Linked DNA regions of Arabidopsis thaliana. The protein of the gene in region 3 interacts with the protein of the main gene of each other region in a pairwise test. Each region holds a gene or a part of one and is shown on either strand. Other genes may lie near its edges.

Evidence for each region.
Region 1: the proteins of TY1 (region 3) and AT3G56270 interact in a two-hybrid assay, tested with the Arabidopsis thaliana proteins (one large-scale study listed by BioGRID).
Region 2: the proteins of TY1 (region 3) and AT1G01440 interact in a two-hybrid assay, tested with the Arabidopsis thaliana proteins (one large-scale study listed by BioGRID).

The regions. Positions count from the first base shown.
Region 1 is NC_003074.8:20,868,008-20,872,619, reverse strand, and holds AT3G56270 (WEB family protein (DUF827)), read right to left. Parts: upstream 2,621-4,612; 5' UTR 2,401-2,620; coding exon 2,200-2,400; intron 1,906-2,199; coding exon 766-1,905; 3' UTR 513-765; downstream 1-512. Other genes in the region: AT3G56260 (uncharacterized protein), read left to right, coding at 3,828-4,421; AT3G56250 (uncharacterized protein), read right to left, coding at 4,464-4,538.
Region 2 is NC_003070.9:159,116-164,505, forward strand, and holds AT1G01440 (hypothetical protein (DUF3133)), read right to left. Parts: upstream 3,839-5,390; 5' UTR 3,372-3,838; intron 3,166-3,371; 5' UTR 3,105-3,165; coding exon 1,453-3,104; intron 1,364-1,452; coding exon 1,303-1,363; intron 1,188-1,302; coding exon 964-1,187; intron 878-963; coding exon 820-877; 3' UTR 513-819; downstream 1-512. Other genes in the region: AT1G01450 (Protein kinase superfamily protein), read right to left, coding at 4,990-5,390.
Region 3 is NC_003070.9:28,811,169-28,815,090, reverse strand, and holds TY1 (thioredoxin Y1), read left to right. Parts: upstream 1-1,926; 5' UTR 1,927-2,142; coding exon 2,143-2,328; exon of another isoform or gene 2,329-2,603; coding exon 2,604-2,692; intron 2,693-2,883; coding exon 2,884-3,061; intron 3,062-3,152; coding exon 3,153-3,218; 3' UTR 3,219-3,406; downstream 3,407-3,922. Other genes in the region: AT1G76770 (HSP20-like chaperones superfamily protein), read right to left, coding at 713-1,299, 1,375-1,522; EC1.1 (egg cell-secreted-like protein (DUF1278)), read right to left, coding at 3,508-3,922. UniProt on the Arabidopsis thaliana protein: Thiol-disulfide oxidoreductase that poorly activates chloroplastic malate dehydrogenase (NADP-MDH) and fructose-1,6-bisphosphatase. Provides reducing equivalents for peroxiredoxin Q.

The sequences.
Region 1 (4,612 bases), on a different chromosome or scaffold from region 3:
AGATAGTTGACACTTGGAAAAGAGTAGCCCACGTGTTGGGAGTGGCACATTTTAGCCTGAGACAATGATTTTGCTAACCCACGCCACTCTTACTTTTCAACTTTATTTTTTAATTATTTATTTATTTAGTTCCTTTTCCTTCTTTTGGTTTCGTTTGGTCCCACGCTCTAAGCCAATACGAGGATTCCAGACGAAATCTTTGTTGTGAAGACTAAAACACGTGGCATTAAGTTATTGGAGATATCTAGATTGTCTTAAAAGCCTTGACCACGTCATCATTCTGTATCTGACCACTCCAAACTTATACAGTATAAAGTACAAACTGGTCAAATCGTAAAATGTGTTTTTATCTCCGTAGTTCAACCTGAATGTTTCAGTTTCTATTTTGAGAATCTAGAAACATTATAAAGACCAACGTTATTAAAAAATAAACAGTTGAGGACCTACGGTATTGATTATGGATCACCTAATTAGCTAATCTAACACTTAAAATGCATTAGTTAAGAAAGTGCCCACCACCTAAATCATATGATCAATGCCCTTCACTAACTCCCATAATTAATTATGATTACTAGAAGCTTTAGTTTTTACTATAATGTTTTTCTTTTTGTCACATTTGAGTCAAAACAACACATCTCACTCTAATCATCTGTGTTTTGCTTTTGATGGAAGCAACAACACCCATCAATGATCAAACCAAGAATAAAAAAAAACAGGAATCGAAATGTGCAAAACATGTTTTCAAAGGTTGGGTATTTTTTTAGCTTACTCTGTTTTTCTAATGGAAGCTTGATGTGTTTGTATGAACCTAAACTTTCTCCTCGGCGTGACCAACTGTTTCTCATCTTTTCGGTTAAGAGCATTACCCATTGAGACGTTACGTTTCAGCATTGGCTCAGGGAGATCGATCAGTGGCTCGTGCTGATTGATATGGCTCAAGAAAGAGCGCTGAGGAAAGCTTTCTCTTTTCATCGAGCGTTTTGCTCCAACAGCTTTCTGGTCTTTCCATGACTCTATGTTCCACTGCCGAAATGCCTCTTCTGCTTCAAGTTGCTTCACACTAGCGATTTCTACCCGGTTTAACGCAACTTCCAAGGCTTGTTTACTTTGTTTAACTTCTTCGTTAGCTTCCTCCAGCTTCCTCAAGATCTCTATTCTTGAGACATTGGTGGATAATTCTTTGTTCATCTGTGCTTTAAGTGTTAATGGAAAACATGGTGTCTTAGGGAAGCAGAGAGCGTCTTGGTTTCTTCTGCTGGATAATATGGTCATTTCAGCAAGCGCAAGTGCTTCCGCTGCTCTTGCTGCCTCTTCCATTTTTCTTGCAGCAACCAATCTCATATCTGCAGTTCTCGGGCAGGTTTTGCTCTGTTTATGGAAAGCTGTATCATAGGTTTCAACTACCATCTTAATCTGTTCACATTGTGGATTCACTGGTAAATTCTCGGTATTGAATCTCTCTACTTGATCAGGACCTGCTGGTTTAAACTTCAAACTGTTAAGTTCCTCCGCTAGAGACGCTACTCCAAGGACATCTTTCTCTTCCTTCGTTTTCATATTCAGAGATTCAGCATAAGAGTGGATCAACGCAAGATCATCCATGGTTTTACAAAGATTCATACCAGCTTGCTTCATTTCCATGGTCATCAGATCCGGAGACTTCAGGGGATTACGATGGCAGTGCTCATCGACCATCTCTTTGGAGTGTGAACGCAAATGTTGAGGGGTCTCCTTGCATCTCAGTGCTTGCTGCTGAAGCTGCCACTTCAAATCTTCAAAAATCCTTTTGGTTGATCCAAGAGCTTCAAGAAGATCCAGAGTCTCTAACTCTTTCATAATCAGATCCTTCTCAAGCTCCACTGTCTGTTCTTCCATTCTCTTTATGTCAAATTCTCCCACACAGTCCTGAAGAATGACAAACCAAAAAAACATAAAACAAATCATGCTATATAATACCAAAAAAAAATCTTACATAACATCTTGCTAGTTCCAGAATCAATTGCCGCAAATGCAAACATCAAATTAGCTATCACTTATTACAAAATATCTACTCAGTAACCAAATCGAATCAGCTATCAGTTATTCAGTTTGTTAGCATACTTAACAGTTAGAGAACATACATTTCAAACTTTCAGTGACATTAATGCTCAAACTTTAAATGAACAGACTTTGTAAATCGGAAACTAGAAGAGAACTCACGTAATTGTCTTCAAGATTGAAGGGAACCCAGAACCCACGACCACCATATAACTGTGGAGAAATGTCGATTTCAGCTCTCAAGCATCCTCTCCTTGTATTCTCCGGGTTGAAATTCTCGGACCCGGTTCCGGTTCTCACTTCCCGGATTACGGGTGTACCGGGAATCGTCTCCGCCGCAGGGCTCTGTTGCCTCTCCGCCATTTCCGTTAGCTCGAGAACGAATTGGTTTGTACAAGTGAAAGGGAAAGATAATGAAAGAGTGATCTATTTACAGTAATCATAGTTACTGATCAGAAGCAAACAAGATTGAGAGCTTCTCTATGATTGTGTTTTTCTCGGTAATGAAAGTCACTCACGAGAGAGACTCGAAGAACAAGAATGCAGGCTTTGATGATGCTACTACTAATGGCTGTGGCGACGTGGCTTCTATTGATTGGTTATCTGATTAATTAATAAATGAAAATTTTGGGCCGTTGATTAAGGAAGCGATATTGGGCCGTTGGTACGAAGTTCAAGTTCGTCTATATTGGGCTTTTTTGTGAAGGAAATTCTTACGTATGTGTTGTTTGTTTCTGTTCAAATACGAATATCCGAAAATTGTTATAATTTTCCCGTGCGATATTAGTGTATAGTAAATGTATGAGTGAAATAAATAGGTGGAGCTTTCCCTTATAGTTTTCTAACCAATTTGTGTGGCCATCACATTAAAGCAAAATCCGAGTAGGAGAAAACGGACCACGTACGAATACGATTGGAAACGACCATTAAATTATACGACCTCCCTCACTCAACCGTCCAAATTCATCACCGTCGTCTTTCGATCTCTCACGTTTCTATTTATTTCTCCGCATACGTTTCTTCCAACTAATTAGAACCGACAAATATATATATCTTTTCTAATTACTATTGTTGGGAGTTACCAGTTAGCACTTGACATTGGTACGTATTCAGATGGTTTGGTCTGACACTCTGAGTAGTTCCCTATTATATCCTATCTAAATTATCATTTCATTAAATGTAAACCATTATATCTTTTGGATGAACATGCCCCAAACTTTTGGTCAGTAGTTTCAAATTACGACAAACAAGGTTAGTAGTCTTGATATATATTAAAACGTGTGGATTTGTTGGTCAATAATTATTTCCTTAATTATAAGAACACCAAATAAAAAGGTTTATAGAGTGGAATCCCACAAAAGGTAACATATTAAATACTCTAAGCAATGCTTACTACAGTAACTGTTTACCAATAATGTGATCCTCACCTCACGACTCTCTTATTATTAATGAAAACGCATTAAGTAATGCATACAGTAAGATAGCCACCTTTCATTTATTATCTAACCAATTTTTTCCCCTATGTATGATCTTCCATATACTTGTAATATGCTCATCCATATGAATTTTTCCTAAAGAAAATAAAAAAGCAGAATAAATATCCACGATTATATACAACCGTGCAAAGAAGATTCTTTTGTTTCATCGGCAAACTTGTTTTACTCGCAATACATATTACTCTTTGTCACCTCTAAAGAAGCTTCGAAACTAGCACTTGTTGTTTCAATTTTCGTACATCAATTCTCATCAAAAGCCGACTCAAACATAAACCGAGAGTTTATAAAAAACAGATGTCAGAAAGACTAGAAGATGACTTTGCAATCGATGAAGAGAGATCCTCCTACTATGGCGGAGCCTCCATACCATTCATATGGGAGTCAAGGCCAGGAACACCCAAAAACCACCTCTGCTCCGATTCCTCTCTTCCTCTGCCTCTCACACCGCCGCCCTCATACTACTCCTCCGGGATTTTGTCGACACCAAGGACGCAAAGCAAGGTGAGATCAAAACTAAGTAAGTTTCTGTCCTTCTCCATGTTCAGTGATCTCAGGAGGAGCAATCACGGTAGCAAGAAGACGGCAAGCTCATCGTTTTCTTGGTCTTCTACGTCATCTTCATCTTCCTTTTCCTCCTCGCCACCACATTCTTTGAAAAAACGTATGAGTCACGACAAAAAATCGCCACTTCTGTACGCTAACTACGAAGAGGATGAGCTTAGGTCTTCACCAACCTCGACTCTGTGTTGCTCCAACGGGGGAAGACTTGGCTGTAGTTCTTCAATGGGGAGTGTGACAAGAGCTCTGTTCTCTGGGTCAATGGAGGGTATGAAGAGACATGAGACCACAGGTAAAGCTCTAATCATCAGCGACATGAATAAAGCTTGATTATGTGAATAAAGCTTGGTTTTTTCTATGAGCTGCTTCGCCTCATTGAACAGAGAGTGTTATAGTTATTGGTGTGTGAATGTAAGTATATAGTTTGTCTCTCAGTCGTGGCCTTACCTGTGTATTGTGGACAGGCTTTTTCGTCAATTCATGTCTAAGTAGAACCAAGAACGTTCTCCCACTGAAACGAT
Region 2 (5,390 bases), about 29 Mb from region 3:
TCTCTCTTTTTTCAACTAAAGACAGAGACCTCGCACTTAGATTTAATGGTTGAAACTTGTAACTAAAACTACTTGTGAGTATATAAATTAGTATCTAGTTTATGCTTTACACATCTAATTAGACGAAAAAATATATTTTGTCTTCTGATAACCGTGGTAATTTTCATGCTAATTTTGTTTTAAACGTTCTATCTAGAGAAAAAAAAAAAATCGTTCTATCTAGACGGTAGAATTAGTTCTCGGTGATTTAAAACATAAACTAATCTTTAGACATGAATTAGTCGTTTTAGACAGACTAGATTATCGACTCTGTTTTTTTATATGGAGTAGGGTACACCACGACCACGAGGCCCATTGTGAATAAATTATTCCATGGGCTTTAAATATTTGCTACGTGGACCCATCTTACTTGAAGTTGATTTTGGATCTACCATACCAGTGTGTTTTCTTTCTTGAAAACGATTTAACAAGTACACACAGCCTGGACAGATCTATAAATATATACATTTATCTTTTGTCACAAAATCAAACAAATATTATTTTATTTCCCAACAGGCAACAGGTTATCCACAATAAAAAATGATCAATTTACATAAACCAGATCACAAGATATAAAACCATACGGTTTATCTCTTAGACAAAAAAAAAAAAAGTAAGAGAAAGAATGGAACATTGTAAGAGAACCCCCAAAAAAGAAACTAAACCCAAAAACAGAATAGCAAATAAGTTTTGGGTCAGAATATAAGCAAAGATGTGTTATATATCAATCACAAAGAATAATTTACAAATCAGAGAGGTCAAAACAAAGCTGACGAAGCTTCACGAGACTAATGATCTTGGAACCCTCATGCCAAATCCATGCTTCACCTTGTCAACCCTGATTCAATTTTCAACCATAAAATTTCAGAATCAACTAAATGATTGATGTAAAAATTTGATTACATGGAATTGTGTTGTGCTTACGTTGGAGCTAATCTGCCAAGACTCTTAAGTTCTTCACCAGAGTCTCCATCAAGAACTCTTCCTGCTATATCAATGATGTAAGAACGGTTCTTGCCTCGAGGAAGACCTCTACTTGATAGTAACTCTAGGTCTCTCTCGTGAAGCTCTCTTCCGTTTACAAACACACTCGTGTTTCCTGCACCGCAGTTATCCGGCATTGGTCGACTAAACTCCTCTATAAATGGCTGCATCAACCAACAATTGTTTCCCATTTCCTCATCAAGTACCAATCAATACAAAGAATTATGAAACAGTGTACTGGAATTCAAAGCAATATAGAAGAGATGTGAAAGTTCTTACTGGTATTATACCGAGACAAGGGTTTCCCATCACTCCCCAGAATCCAGCACGGTAATCATACCTGGTCAGAATCATAACATAAAGATGGTTTCTTGAACGACTGATCAATTCTTTTGACGTAGATTTATCAAAACGTAACCCCAAACATACCAGTATTTGCCAGCTTGAACTGGCCCAGCTTGTTTCTCAGCGCTAATAACCAGATCTTCTGGTATCAGATACCCATTCACCCAAACCTCTAGCTGCTCGTTGTTTTGGTCGTTAGAACTGATATTATTTGTGACCTCTGCGAAACTGTGCTCACTACTCTGCTTTCGGTTTCTTGGTCGTCTCCCTTCTTTGCTGGCTTTTGAGATCCTTGAATCTTCAGACTCCTCGGTGTTAGTATAGTACTCATTATAAGAAACATCTGTCTCAGTAGCTACTGATTCTGATTTCAGGGAGTCTTGTTTCGTGTATGATTCTTGCTTATAGTACCCTAACTGCGCCATTCCGTAAGTGATTGCAGCTCGGTTTACATTAGAATACTCAAAGAGCTCAAGAAGATTGGACTTTTCCGGAGGAGGAGGAGGAGGAACCTTCGCGCCTTGGGCTCTGCTGCGAACAGACTTGACGACCTGTTTCCGCGGCTCACTAGAAATGCTTGACCTGTCTTCATCGTTTGAGTGATCACTAGGCGATACAGCATGGACAATTTTCGTTTCCTGGTGTATTCTTGGTTCTTCATCATTGAGTGGATAATCATCTACCACAGGGATTGGTGAGCTTCTATCTTCAACCTCTACAGAAACCCGGTTCGTAGTTTCCCCCAGGGCAGAAGATGAGAAAACAAGCTTCTTATCAACAACTCTGAACGTGATAACCTCAGAACAAGCACCACATTGCATCTTTTGTTGCCTTTCCTGACCAAGAAGCTTCTTCTTAGGCACATATAGCAGCTCAAAGCAACTGTGACAAGCAATAAAAGGCGCACCGCCTGCTAGAGGATGGCAACGACGTGAATCAGTATCAGACACAGCTTGTTGAACATACCCACGAGCAAAAGCACCACCCATTTCAGAATCAATTTCACTAGGCCACCTCGTGTGAACACCACCATGTGGACTAAAGGGTCCAACTTTCTCACCGTGGTGCAAAGCCGGGCTAAATGGGACATCACCATACCTACTTGGCGTACCCGGAAAGAATCTAGGGTCCTGTAACTGTGACTCAAGTATATCAGAGCCAATGTCTACATACTGTCCTTGAGGATAGGGTGGACGAGGCGGCATCTGATTAGGGTAATGACTTGGTCCTTGATAAAAGTTTTGAGGTATCCTATGCACTGGGAATCCATAAGGGTCTCTATAAGCTGGAACATGAGGTTGGTTACTCGCGGTAGGATACATTCCATAAGGAAATGGCTCAGGGTATGGATTGTAATAAGAAGGAGGAGGTCCATGATGGGCATGGAAACCCATTGGTGGCTGATCAACAACAGTAGCATTATTACCTCCACCACGGAGAAGATGATCTTTAATAGAATCAAGCTTTCTCAAAAGCTCGGCTTGTTGTTTATCAGTGTACTGAATTGGGTTGTTTCTGGTGGTTGTGTTCTTAGAAGAAGAAGAATCTGAATCAGTCTCTTCCTCCTTTCTCGAGCTCTTGACGAATCTCTGAGAACCAGGTCGTGAATTCGAATCGTCTAGGCGATTTCTCATCGGGCTAGTAGCGGATTCATTGAGATCCTCCTTAAAGCCTCTGTCTTCATCACTTCTTGAGGAACCAGTATCTGCTCCATAAACGTCACCGCTTGTCCTCATCGGAAAAAAAAAACAAAAATTCTCCGACGAAGACCAGCTTCTAGGGTTTTGCTTGTTTAAACTGCAACAGAAATAATAATCCTTGAATTCAAACAAAATCCGAAATTATCAACAAATTCTCTAATCGAATCTTCTCCAATCCGCGAATAGTAACATGGTAGAGCAAATCTTAAAATTTTCCTAGAGACTAGTTCAAGAGTTTCCATGATTGCACAGCATCCAAAACGGGAAAGACAAGACAGAGAGATATAGGAAAATCAAACGCACCTCGAAGAAGAGTGATTCCGGCGTCAGTATTATGAATATTTTTTGGGCAATTTCTTCGTCTCCGGTGAGAATCAAGCTTTTAGTCTCTTTGACGCAGCCATTTTTTAATATTAAAGGAGTTTTGTGAAAATTTCAGAGGAATTTATTTAAATAATCAAAAGACTTCGAACAATAGCTCTACTTTTCTTGCTTCGTTTTCCCGGGAATCTACCAACTAGGAACAATTAGATCGACAATGGAGTTTAAGAATTTTGACATATCTAGAAACTATGAGTCTTACCAGGTCAAGTTGACCAAGAGATAACGTGACGACCAAAAATAATGCAACAAAATAAAAATAGTAGTAACTAATGAATTGGTTGGATCGATTCGAATTTAACTGCATTTGAAAGGTGAAAGTTAAAGTACCAAATTAGGTCTTTGATATATTTGTGTCTCGCTGCTCCAAAACCAACAATACCTTGAACTACACACACTATTCATCATGGCCATGGTGGGTTTAGTTTATAACGATGAATGTGTACGTATTTTATACATGTATTGTATAATATTATCTTGTCAAAATAGATGGTGTGCCATGTTCCCAGACGTGCTCATAACTTGAATTCTTTTCATCATCATCATCTTTAAAAAGTTTAGAGATGTATTTTAGTTGTTGGAATTGTATTTTATATTAGGGTGACAATGACAAATGTTATAGCTGTAAAGTATTTTTTGTACAAATCAGCTGCTTAGTTTGTTTACTCCACTTGCTTATAATGTTATATTTGACAAATCTGTTGGTATTAAAATCATAATAACGTACTTATCACCAAAAAAAAAAAAGAAATCATAGCTTCATTCATCTAAAACTAGAGTGGGGACTTTTTGGTCATATCACAATCAATGACATAATAAAAGCGTCGGAGGATGGATGTGACGGAGTCGGCGGTGGCGGAGATATTGAAATTGACGAGAGACAGAGCCAAAGCTCCGAACCACGCCATGTCTCTAGTCCCCGGCGGAATCGCTGTTCCCCTTTTTTGTTAAGGTAATTTTCAGGCAGATTAGTCAAGGTTCCTTATTTTTGATGTTTTTATCCACATTCGAAGCCCAAAATTTGATTAGTGTAATTTGATGGTGTTTGATAGATTGTAGAAATAGTGGAGCAGGCCTAGTTTACTTCACTTCAGCGTTGAGCCTCTACAGTCTAGGCACATAATTTTGCCTCATATGATTTGTTTCCTTTAAGATAATATTGTAGCTAGTAGCTACTGAATCAATCAGTCACTAGCCTGAACAATATACGAGCCTAGTAGTATCTGTAGGAAACTTTGAATAAAGAAGAATTTTATCGTTTTCGATAGATATGTAGTGGAGTGTGTGTCACCACATACGAGTTAGTATGTCTTTTGACTTGTACAGCATTTTGAACTTGCTATTATGAACCTATTCTTTTTCCCTGCAGACTAGGAAAGCTCAGAGTCAGAGGCATGTCCAGAGTTTGATCGTCGTATCCTTGGGCTTATCAATATCAGCTGACTCTCAGAGTTTGCTCTCATGCTTTGCCCACCACAAGGGCTTAGTGGCGGATGCCTTGATCGTCCTCTCGGAGTTGTCCCTGAACAGAATCCAAAGGCTAGTGACACAAAACAAAAAAATTAGTACAAGTAACCAAGTTCATATTTGTTAGGGAGCCTATATATATATATATATATTGGCTGATGATAATCTCACCTGGTTTTTGAATTGGTTTCAGGCTAGAAGCTCTTTTCAGAAGATTTGAAACCTGCTTCTTGCTCATACCAACATCATTTGAGGAGCATGACAATCTTCTTTCCTTGGCATATGACAACTGCTCATCTGATCCTGCCCCACCCTCATCCTCGCTACACGAAGCCCATTCACTTCCTGATTCCGATGGTTCCCGGAGATTATCCTTTTCACACGTTTTTGCCCGTTCCACAACCCTATATGCAAACATTTGAAAAGGAACCTGTGAAACTTTGGTTAGCTCTGTAGATTCCCAAGAAAGCTTCT
Region 3 (3,922 bases):
TCTCGAAGCCTAAAATCCCGGCAACATGTCCTTCGAATCGTCTATCTCTCTCTCTGTCTCTGTTTCTACGGTGGATGATAGATCTTATCATCGCAGGCAAACAAATTAAGACGTGAGGCTTGTGTGTGTGATCTCTCTCGTCTTCTTCGTTGCTTTTTAAGTGAACAGAGAGAGCCGTTGTATATATGAGTCGTTCTTAGGCCAGACCAACGAATCACACCAAAGATTAGGGTGAATCCAACAAGCAGATGCAACAACACATGAATAATGAAATCTCAAAAAGGAAGAAGAAGAGAACAGAGAGGCAAACGAAGCAGACAGAAATCGAAGAAGAGAATTGAAAAAAATGCAGAGCAATTGTGTTTTTAACTTGAGAGGAGACGCGAGACGCAGGTATATAAATTTATTTGTTTGACATTCAAGTTTCCTTTTTTCCTTTTCACTTAGGGTTTGTTATAGTCCAGAGCAAACACAAACCTTAGGTTCGGTGATAATCTAGCCGTTATACACGGTTCGGGTCAAATACTTTCCATTTATTAGCTGATACGCTCCTACTAATTTTTGGTTTAGATACTGATTGTATTTTGATTGTATTACACGTTGACTTTTATTGTTTTAAAGAACAAGGCTAAGAAGAACAGATAATAAGAAAGTGGGTTCTATCCTTAAAAACCAACAAGAACCCTATCTTAAAAACCTAAGGAGTGTGGTTTCATTTATTTCTGGATTGAATCAGTTGAATAATGAAAACAATAATAGACATAAGCAGAGTGGATCCTGCAAAACATGGTAAACGAAACTTTTTTCTTCTCTTCTTTCTTGGTTTATCTTCGATTTCTTCTTCTTTTTTCCCCTCATGATCTCTTGTTCCTTCCTCAACAACCTCTTCTTCCTCTTCTCTCTGTGGCTCTTCTGCTTCTTCGTTTTCTTCCTCAGGTTTTGTCTCTTCTTTGATTTCTTCTTCTGGTTCTGTTTTCTCCTCTGTTTTCTCTTCTACTATCGGCTCTTTCATCTCCTCTTCTTCGTCCTCTTCCTCGATCTTCAGACCGGTAATTCCCTTAACTTTCTTAGGCATTGTAACAGTTAAAGTCCCATCTTCTTCATTAAACCTCGCTTTGATCTTGTCAAGAATTACAATATCTGGAATCCGAAACACTTTTTTGAATTCCTTTATTTCTGTTTCCTTTTTCCATTCCACCCACTTTACCAAAACCATCTCTTCAACCTGTTTTCTTCCGCTGATCTTAATCAGATTCCCTTCTTTGTTTATCTCGATATCGATACCATCCTTCTTAAATCCTGCATTTGGTTTTCAATCTCAATCTCTATGCTAGGTAAGAAAAAAAGGTGAATAAATATGAGAGGGAATAGAACCTTTGAGATGAAGAATGAGGAAGAAAACAGAGTTGGTTTCTCGAGAAAGTGAACGATGACCAAAAGAATCTCTGGCAACCCGAAAATCTGTAGAGGAAGAAACATCGTCTTTAGTCCGAGTGATCTTCAGACCTAATTCAAGCTCCATCTTTTTTAGTTGTGAGCTTCTTTTGATACATCTGTTTTTAGTTTTTGCTAAAGTCTCTCTCTAGTCCACACTTTTCTAGTTTTGTTTAAATTAGGCTATTTCATATCGTTTCTTTGAAGAGGCCCACAAGAACATATTCGTAACTTCCATCTTCAGGAAACTCAAAAACGGAGTCGTGAGTTTTGTCTTTTGTTACCCTCAACGGTTTTAACTGTCCCAGTTGCGTTGGCGGGAAGTAACAGCTATCTTTATAGTACTAGTTGATAATGATAACCCTTTGCGATTGCATTTACAATGAGATCTGTCATGTCATATGATTGAGCCTGAAGATTGTGAGCAAAAAGTTAAATTGAAGAGTGATCGGTGTTTGGGAACGGGCCTATAACATGTGGGCCTAGAACATGTTTGTGGGCCTATAACAAAAAAGATACGGTGTACTTGACCGTAGTGGATCATCATTGTCTTTCTAGTACCTTGTGTCATTTTCTTTCAGAGTTCGTTCTCTCTTTTTGGTCAATTCGAGTTTTTTTTCCACAAGTGTCCAACTTTTTTTGTCATCATCAACCTAACCAACCGCCAACGCCGAATCAAGAGATCGTTTGTTTTTTTCTGATTCTTTCATGGCGTCAATTTCTCTCTCTTCTTCTACGGTTCCGTCGCTGAATTCGAAAGAATCGTCAGGTGTTTCTGCTTTCGCTTCTCGTTCTATCTCGGCCGTCAAATTTCAGTTTCCGGTTCGTCGGGTTCGAACCGGAGACTTAAAGTTTCCATCTTTATCTTCAACGACTCGATGCACTCCTCGACGTGTAATCGCCTTTCTCTGCTTAAACATCTTTTTCCAAAGCTTATATTTTGTTCAATTCTAGCTTACTTAATTTTACCCTATGAATTATTGAATTCAAGCTTCAAACTTTCTTCTGATGGTAGAGCTGATGATAGCTTTCCTATTTTGAAATTTTTCTTATTTTAGTTTCTATAGCTGATTTTCTCTAGAGTTTGGAATTGATTTAAAGTGAGTGCCTTTATCTACTTCTTGATTTAGATTGAACTAAATGACAAACCATTCTTGTTCATACTTCAGATTGAAGCCAAGAAGCAGACATTTGACTCATTTGAGGATCTGCTTGTGAACTCTGATAAACCAGTTCTAGTTGACTATTATGCAACCTGGTGAGTTTGTTTTGGTGTCAAATGATAACATGTGTTAGTTGAGTGGTCATCAACCAGTTCTAGTTGACTATTATTCATCATGAATGAGTATACTTGGTCTATGTTGGGATCCAGTGTAGTCTGTTTGCTTATTATCGAGTTTATTTGTTAAACAGATGATTTGGAATCAGAATGTACTGTTTGTTTGGCAGGTGTGGTCCTTGCCAGTTCATGGTTCCAATACTCAATGAAGTGAGTGAAACCCTGAAAGACAAGATACAGGTGGTGAAGATTGATACCGAAAAATACCCCAGTATTGCTAATAAATACAAGATTGAGGCACTTCCTACTTTCATCCTATTCAAAGATGGGGAACCTTGTGATCGCTTTGTATGATGACTTCAATGCCTTTGAATTTCTTCATTTTCGTTTTAAGGTTCTTAATCTCACTCACAAACGTTTCTTTTTTTGTGATTTCCAGGAGGGTGCTTTGACGGCCAAACAACTCATTCAACGAATTGAGGATTCTCTAAAAGTGAAGCCATAGTTGGATCATGAACTCTTTTTTAATTATTTGTATGTTTTTCAACTGTCCCTGACCTATTCAGGACTTAGTGATAGCGATGTTTTTCGGTTGATTTAACTTGGAGAATTTGAGAAGAAGAAGATTATGTTTGCCAGATTTGTAAAACCTTGTTGTGAGTAATGATGATCTTTTATTCTCAAAAGTAATAACAGAGACGCTATTTTTCAAGCATTCGTCACCAGTTACATAAAGATTAAAATTCTCTTAGCAAAAGAAAACATAGCAGGAGTGTAAAGATGAATACTAAGACTCAAGGGTTAGAAGGAGAAGCAGAAGATCTAACAACGGTAGTCTTGAAATTCACGGAGAGAGGCAGTGTTGAGGAGGCAAGAGCATGGTCTTCACCATTGTTGTCAGAGTCATTGCCATCACAGTAACCTTGGAGCATATCACCTTCTTGAGCAGTAAAACCAAGAACACCAATCATAGTAGGCCAACACTTGCGTCCAATGGTTCTTATAGCACTGCAACACCCAGGGCCAATGTAAGTCTCACCGTTGAGGAAGAACAAGATCAGCTCTCCAGAACAGTGTTGGAGCTGCATCAGTGAGTCCCAGCAGTACCCTGTATCTTCATCAAGCTTGAGCCTGTACACAAGGCTTGTGGTAGGAGAAGACGTCCCCATGGATGGTTTCATGAGAGGGCGAGCTGTCACTGTGGAGGAA